2 linked regions of the Oryzias latipes genome follow. The protein of the gene in region 2 purifies or fractionates together with the protein of the main gene of each other region. This does not show direct contact. Links are inferred from orthologs where the notes say so. Each region holds a gene or a part of one and is shown on either strand. Other genes may lie near its edges.

The links.
Region 1: the proteins of bcar1 (region 2) and bcar3 purify together in Homo sapiens (co-immunoprecipitation; 4 studies listed by BioGRID and IntAct, counting the BioPlex papers as one, with this or other methods). This does not show direct contact. The link is inferred for Oryzias latipes from reciprocal best matches to the Homo sapiens genes BCAR1 and BCAR3.

The regions. Positions count from the first base shown.
Region 1 is NC_019862.2:18,877,975-18,881,790, reverse strand, and holds part of bcar3 (breast cancer anti-estrogen resistance protein 3), read right to left. Parts: intron 3,587-3,816; coding exon 3,347-3,586; intron 3,085-3,346; exon of another isoform or gene 2,421-3,084; intron 1,708-2,420; exon of another isoform or gene 1-1,707. UniProt on the Homo sapiens protein: Acts as an adapter protein downstream of several growth factor receptors to promote cell proliferation, migration, and redistribution of actin fibers.
Region 2 is NC_019864.2:4,911,904-4,916,387, reverse strand, and holds the start of bcar1 (breast cancer anti-estrogen resistance protein 1), read right to left. Parts: upstream 3,104-4,484; 5' UTR 2,991-3,103; coding exon 2,976-2,990; intron 1-2,975. UniProt on the Homo sapiens protein: Docking protein which plays a central coordinating role for tyrosine kinase-based signaling related to cell adhesion. Implicated in induction of cell migration and cell branching. Involved in the BCAR3-mediated inhibition of TGFB signaling.

The sequences.
Region 1 (3,816 bases), on a different chromosome or scaffold from region 2:
AGGCGGCTCACATCCGGGAGCTCCATGAAGGAGGTAATTAGCTCAAATCCCTTGCTACATTAACAGGGTTGGTAGTTTAAATCTTTTAATACTGCAATGGAATTCCAATGGGAATATTAGCACAGTCCATTACTTACCATAGCAAATATGTTTAGCACTCTAAGCCTTCTTCTCCATGTTAATATGGCTCAAAATAATGAGTCGGATTTGGTTGTGTAACAGAACAGAGGCCTCCATTCACTCTAGGCACTTATCAAAAGCAGAGGCCTTTCTGTCACCCTCAAGATCAACTACAGTCTTTAGCAAACTGAGATTTAAGCTGGTGCAGTGCATAAGCCCATATATTTTAGGCAGAAGTATCACCATAAACAGCTTACTAGGCTGTCCTTTGCACACAGACACGCGTGTTATTCCAAAACACTGGCAGGGCTGCTGGAGCTCATCCGCAAATTTTCATATCTAAAGAAATCTGTGAAAACATTTATGTTACCTATTAGATAATGAAAACATCAACATGGCATTACATTATTACGGTGTTGTGCTTTTTCATTTTTGAAAAAATAGCACTTTACATAAACAATTTAGGATTCAGTGGCTAGAGTGCTAAAAAAAAGTTTTTAAATCAATTCAGCAGCTCCCTGTGGGTTGTGGTATTGATTTTTTGGGTTTGTTTAGTGGTTTTAAAGTGCTTTATGGCCCCTTCACCTCATGATGTTGCTGACTTTATTTTACATATGGACCGCTGAGGACTCCAAGGTTCTCCAACAATTCATTATCAACTATTTCTAGAGATAAGTGTAATTTTTGGTTTAGTTGAGAATTTGGCAGGATAATGAAGTTTTCTGGGATTGCAGAAATTGTTGAATAGAAATGTTCTTTCCACTGATATTTAAAGTCCTTTGTTACATTTTTTTACACTCAGAATTTCAGTTATTGTACATTTTTGTTAATTATTTGGCATAAATTAGCAGCTGAAGAAAATAGAAAGGTTCCAAATAGGGAAATGCAAAAAAAAAAATCTAATTTTAAAAATTAACATAATTGCTGTATTTTGTTTTGCTGCTAAGGCAACTGAAGGTTGGCTTTGTTTTTCTAAAGGCCTGAAACCTTTCCTAATAGTGTCCTGGCTGTGCAGTATAACAGTGCAATGAAAAACCACCACAGACTGACAACACCCTATGAAAGCCCTGTGGGTCAAATGAGCCAAAAAGGAGGGAAATTTCCTGTTTTTCTTTCATTCAAAAGTCCCTCTGACATTCAGAGAGCCATGATTTCTAATATTGTTCCTAGTTCTTGATTAAAGTTAAAGTTAATTAAATTCTTTTGGTGAACACTGACAAGGGAAATTGTAGTGAGATGGCCCAGGCATTCCTGGGTACGACTAAATTTGTCTTTTCTGCCCACATTTCTAAAACAGCATTGGACAGCGAGTTCTTCTGCCTCTGTGACCACAAAACCAACCTGCTGCACAGTCAGGGGCACACTGAGAAAGGGCTGAGGCAATGGAAAAGAAAAAAAAAGGAGAAAAAGAAAAGACGCACTTGCCACAGTCTTTTTCTGGCTATTTTCGCTCTTTGTGCTCCACCACACAATACTCAGCATGACCACAACCAGAGTTTGGGAAGACAGAGAAAGAAGGAGGGGATGGGGACGAGAAGGGAGGTCAGGAAAGTGGCAGCATGCAGGATCTGTCAACGGCCCATAGAGGTCAGTGTGCTTCCATTTAACATGTGACCAGGCTGATGATTTACAGCACCTTTGAAGAATTTTTATGAAAAATCTTAAATATCAATGCTTTATTTATGTCATAAATATATCCTCAAAGTATGAATTACACAGAAAATGTGTTTTTTTTCCTATTCATTTTGGCATAAATACTAGATTTGCACTTTCCATGCCATTTTGGGTTACCGGAGATTCTTTATATATCAAGCTGACTTAAAAAAAATATTGGATCAACCTTCCTTGACAAAATGCAATACCAAATGTTTTAAAGTCCTTAGATTATATTTTAAGCCATTATTTTGAACTTTAGGTTAAAAAAAATTGCTTTGCCATTGGTTTTTTTAAAAGTAGACCTCAGAATTTTAAAATGACTTATGCACTTTTGGATACTTTGAGTCACTAAAAAAGTCAAAGTATTTTTAACAAATTAATATTGGAAATTGCAAAACATAATTTAATCTTTTGTTGAATTGGGATTAAAATAGAATAATGAACCAGTAATTCTGTTCAAAATCAGTTTCAGAATTGGTCACATAAACATGCATTCCCCCACAAACACACGGAAATGGAAAATTATATTTGCAACTATCAGCTAAGCCTAGAAAGCAAACAGCAGGTTTTATGAATAATAAAATAAAACATTTTTCTCCATCTCTGTATTACATGCACTCTTTTCCTTTTACTCTGCCTCCCAGCTGTCCTCCTCCAAAGCTGCCTCCTCTTCCTCCTACTCTCTTGGTGGTCTTGATGTGTCCACTGAGGTCAAGAGAAAGACAAACTGTCCAATCGGAATCTGGTGCAACGTAAGGTCAGGGGCCACAGGTCGGCTGACAGCATGGGTCATAAAGACCGACTGAGCAGCAATTCCACACCTTCATTTTCTCTTTATAGGAAGCTCACATGAGAACTCTGAGGAATTCTACATGAGTTTTGGAATTTTCTTGCAAATATAAAAGCAAACATTTCTTTCAAAAAAAAAAAAAGCAAATGTACATGTTTGCGTTTTTTATTTTTCTCAAAGAGTGTCATTTCAGCGTGAAGCGTTTGGTTCATTCAGCATCATTCAGTGGGATTACAAAGCAGCTCAGTATCCAGCCACCTGCAGAGGCTGAATCTGACCCGAACAAATTATGTCAGCCGCGTATGAAACAGATCCAGTGTGGAGGCGCGCAGATAAAGGGAACAGACAAAGAGTTCACAGTAATCTGTGATCAACCCCGACACACCCGCACCTACAAAGGAAACCCAACTGCTCAGGGCCACGCGCACACACACATGAACACACACAAACGCACACAAAGCTGGCTATATCTAATCCAGCCTTTTGTAACTCTACACTCTTGACAGATAGATGGGAGGACGTGATGAGAGATGAGCTGTGTGAGCTTTCTCTGAAGTCGAGCTGACTGCCACACCCCCTCTGGGCTATATTTACAACCTTCTCTCTCTTCATGCTAACCCACCCTCCATGTCTCTGTCATGCCCCACTCTCAAGATGAGCAGTTTTTATCTTTATGGCCGTCACTTAACTTTATATTCACAGTAAGTCCAATTTTATTCAAAACAAACTAAAAGATTAAACAGGTCCAACAAAACATTTAGTTTGTATTTCAACAAGTACCTGTAACTATTAAAGTCCTCAGTGATGTCTGGGGCCAGTGAGGATGTCGTGGGTTGATGCATGTGTCCTGGAGGCAGTGATGGGTTCCTGCAAAGTGAGGCCTGATTGGCTTTAGGCTCCCATGTGAAGCTCCCATGGGTGCTGCTGTTCCCAGCTCCTCTCTTTCGCCGAGGCAGAGTTCCATGGATTGAGATGGGCTGGTAGGCTGCAGTGGGGATATCTGGTACGCCAGGAGGCAAACTTAAGCCAAAAACAAATAGAAATGAGTCAGTGTTTCATAAAAAGTTTGTTTACACAATATTTGACAGATTAAAACGAATTGGGCCTTGATGTTCTTTAATATTAAAAATCCACTCCAATCATCTTTTTATGTGTTTTAAAGCCTTCCCAGAGGTCTTTTAATTATTATGATGCCATTTCTAGGGAAAATCAAAAAAGCTGTGTCATTTTCTGTGACGCAGTGGCGGGGA
Region 2 (4,484 bases):
GGATTTGAATGGCAGTGATCTCATCATTAAATTCTGAAAGAAAAGAAAAGAAACCTAAAAGCTTATATGAACTGCTTTCTCTGACACAGTCAAACTGGACAAACCCAGTTGGATGAGTTGGTGGTTGATACATTTCATACATTGAAATCAAATTCTCTTTGAAAAAGCATAAAGTCTTTTGGGGTTTTTTTTTGTCCTATGAATACCTCTTTTTAAAGAAAAAGAAGATTGAACATTGCATTTAATTCACCAGCATTTCTATAGAGATCATCATCAGTGAGTATAAATGGGAGAATGAGACTGTAAAGCGCTTTGGGCCTTAAAGCAAGGTAGTAAACAGTGAAACATGATGGTGGCAGTATCATGCTTTAGGTTATTTTTTCAGCATCAGGGACATGTACAGAGGTATCTTGAGAGAAAACCTCTTCCAGAGTGATCAGGACCTCAGACAGAAGGTTCACCGTCCAATAAAACAATGACCCACAGCGCTCCACTAAGATAACAAAGGAGTGACTTCAGAACAAATCTGTGACTGTTCTAGACTGGTCCAGCCAGATCCCTGATCTATACCCAATTGAACATGTATGGAGAGACCTAAAAATGGCTGAACACCAACATTCACCATGTAATATGCAAGAAAGAAAGGCAGAGGATCCCCAAATCCAGGTGTGATAAACTTGTTGCATAATTTCCAAGAAGACTCATGGCTGTAGCAGCTAAAACGGAAGCTTCTACTCAATACTTAGACCATGTGACTTTTCAGTTTTTCTTTCTTGTTAATAGGCAGGAATTTCTACCTCTCTGATTTTTTCTATCAAGATAGTTCACTCAGTTTGGAGCCCCTAAAGTAATATAGAAGAAAAAAGATAGAACTGGAGAAATTCTGGTGAGCACCAGAAAGTAGGTCATGGACCAAAAAAACTCGTGTGCAGTACACTAGTTGATCAAAGCAAGTGAATCTCCAAAGCTGAAACAAACCCCATGACTTTAGAACTGGCTTTAGGCGATAACACAAAGGTGACGCCAGACAAGAAAAGCTGCAAGGTAACATAAAACTCAATAACTCATGTAATGATGACAGGGTGTGTCTTTATTGTGTAAATTCTGGGCTCCTTGTTCTGAACTGTGACGTCGTTCGTGGAAATTCTGAGGTCCTTGAACTCCTCACGGATGTCACTGCAGAACAGACAACAGGTGGGCACCTGGCATCAATCGGTTTTAATGAGAGACCAGGACGAGAAAGGAGGATAGAGAGGAGACCAGGACAGGGTTACCCGCCTCCCGGATCCATACTGCACCAGGAGAGGAGTGCGCGCAGTCTGAACCGGGAGAGGATGAAGAGGGGAATGACCCGTCCCCCGGAGAGAATGCGACACAGCGTCTGCTGTAATAAAGTCCTGGCAGGTTGGGCGGAACCAAGAGTGAGCCTCATTGCAGGACAACAACTGAGGATGCAGGGGGCGCCGCTGGATGACAACCGTCGTGGACAATGGCGACTGAATTGACTTAATTTCGTTGGAACCAGAAGCAAGGCATTTTTTTATGGGTGATGTCACACTCCCTCAGTCCAGTTCTCTATTATAGTCAATGGTCTAAAGGCGGAAAAGTCCTCACAGCACACTTTCTACACTGTTCTCAGACATGAACATTTTCATTCTTGTTTAAACTCTTAAAGTTCAAACCTTCCCAGAAAAATAAGTTAAGGACTATAAAATGAAAACAAAGATCTGATTACAATCATAGATTTATCCTCACAGTCAAACTGCATGTATAGAGAGACGGTACAGAGGAGATTGATTGATATGGACAACAGCCAATCAGAATGCAGTCAATGCCCTGCATAAAGACAAAGAAGGAAAAACTGCACTGAAAAAAATGTGAAAACGAAACGAAAAGTGAAGCGCAATATAGCGAGGGGACATGACAACTAACTCTGAAAAGTGGTCCTGTGCACAAATGACCACTTACTTTCTTCTGAGCAACAGATACTTTTTCATGCGCCTGAGAAACCAGTACTCTTTGCTTTCACTTGGATGTCCCTTCACGGGCTCCGTAAGTCAGCGCACATGACTGAGAATTGAAATGAACTTTCCTAATTTTGGCAAAAGGCTACAATGATGCAAAGAGTGAAAAATGTAACACTGTGACCACTGAATACTTTCCGTAGCCACTGTATGTTGAGCCAGTCCACCACTGAATCCCTCACAGGGAACGAACGCTTTAATGGAAAGTGAACATGAGTTTGGAATGACAGCAGCGAAGAAAATGGAACGCCAAACTGGCCGCATCCCATCGTATCTTCCTGTCAAACCTCTGCTGGCCAGGACCAGATTTTCTGTTTGGGAAAATCCCAGAACTATAGAAAGAAAGCAACATCCTTCTTCAAATGTCACAAATAGTGTCAATAAATCAATAAAGGTATAAATATCATATCTACCTTTGACAAATCAGTGTCCGATCTGCTCCAATTTACGTCACAGCAGAAATGAACAGGCACTTTTTTTACCTTCTTGTTTAAATTTACTTTAAGAGGTACATTTTTTTTGCCAACTCTATTTATTTTTCATTGGAGATGAAAGCAAATGTGCAAAACAATGTTTTTAGTGGCTTTAGACCAGTAGACCACAGGACTGAAAAACACATCCACAAAGTGTAAACTAACAGAGTGTTCTCATTTCCTAAATGTTTAAGACAATCCTAATTTTTGTGAAGACTACAGTTTCTGAAGACCCTGATAAAGCCTGATTGGTTTCTTGTTTCAACCTTAAAACGTACACATTATGTCTCCCTTATGTTGGCGTGATTACTGGAAACACGACCATAACCTTCACATAACGTTGCTTTCACAGAGATGTAGAGCAGCCCACTGATCAAACTAAAGAACCGCTTGGCGATGGAATGCAGAAGCACTGGAAAAGACGTCGCTGGAACTCTGTTGGGTGGAAAAACCCTCGAGTTCCAGCAGAACTTCTTACCTGATCGCACTGCATGCCAAAGAAATGTTAGCAGACCCCTGCAGCTAACATGATCAGTTGTTTCAGCGCAGAGAATACTGACGAACCAAATTATGCCCGACGTTTGTTGCGGCTTCTAGGTTGTTCAGAAGCAAAAGCCCTCTGTATCTGGCTTCATCGTTTCTTCCCCCACTGCTCCTGCCTGTCTTGACATGTCAGTTCTTAAGAAACAGTATCGTGCGCACATTTAATATGCAGACAGAAACCTCTACCCACGGCATTTACCTGGAGCTGCAATGGTCATTCTCTTCGCCTGAACAGAAATCAGTTCAGCATTTTTGCACCAACACCATTTCATGTTAAATGAAAAACTCTGTACAGCGTTTTCAACTCAGACTGTCACAAACTGAGAACGAAAAGACTTCAGTAGAAAAAGCATCATGTAGTTTATGAAGAAAGTGAGGGAAAATGTTTGTAAAAGAAAAAAAGCATCTGGGTTTTCCCTGAAGGATTAGCTTACTTGAAGTCTTCATGTTCGTTCTTTTCTTCTTTATGTTTATCAGCTGCTAAATATTCATGTCTCATGGAATTGTTAGGAAAGCCCATACATTTTCCAGGTGAACCTACATGTGTTGGACCTGAAGCAGGTGTGTTGCAACGCTACGCCGCACCAAACACTTCAAAATCAGGGTTTTATTTGCAGCGCCAGCTATTTAGTTATGTTTTGGCAAGGGATGATTCCTGCAGAAAAATTCCTGCTGTAGGCCGTGACTAACAGGAGTAACAACAGCAGGGATTATGTAGCCTGGAGCATAGGGCAGACTGCTGTGGGAGGGGCCTGGTGTTGCTCAACCTGCTTTGGTAAAAACTCACAAATAGCTGCCTGAGGGATGAAAAAATACAGTGGATGACTGGTTCAAAGCACCTCGCCCTTCTGCACAGCAGGGAGAATCAAACCATCAGAAGCACACAAAGCTGGTTTTCAGTCCAATAAAAACTGGATTAGCTATCCTGCCTTCAGCCTGCTGCTCCTGCTCTGTTTGCCCTTCGTGTAGCTGCTTTAAAGCCCCTAGTGGTGGTTTCTGTGCGAGAAAAGGTTCCTATTTACAGGACAAGTTTTAAGGTTTGAAGGATCAAAACAAAGAGAAATGATTATGTGGCGTTCATGAGATGCTCCACAGAGCAGGCAGTGTTTATGAGCTTTCCTAACCTACACTTACAAAGGCAGCAGAGGCCTGAGCTTAAGCCTGCTCACACACTTCTTTGACGGGCGTGGATGAGTGTGTGGTGCGGAGCTGCTATACTGTCAGCTCTAAGCACACCCATGATCCACAAAGATGTCTTCTTCACCCTGTAATCCATCCCTGAACAAAGCAGAAGTTACCCGCAGTTCTTCGGTGATGCTCTGTGTCCTCAGCAGAGCTGTGAAAACAAAGCCCCCCCCCGGACCACTCTCAGTAATCCAAGGAAGCTGCAGCTGAGCCGTCACTGTGACTCATGGGTTGTTGTTTGTGAGTTCACTGTACTGAG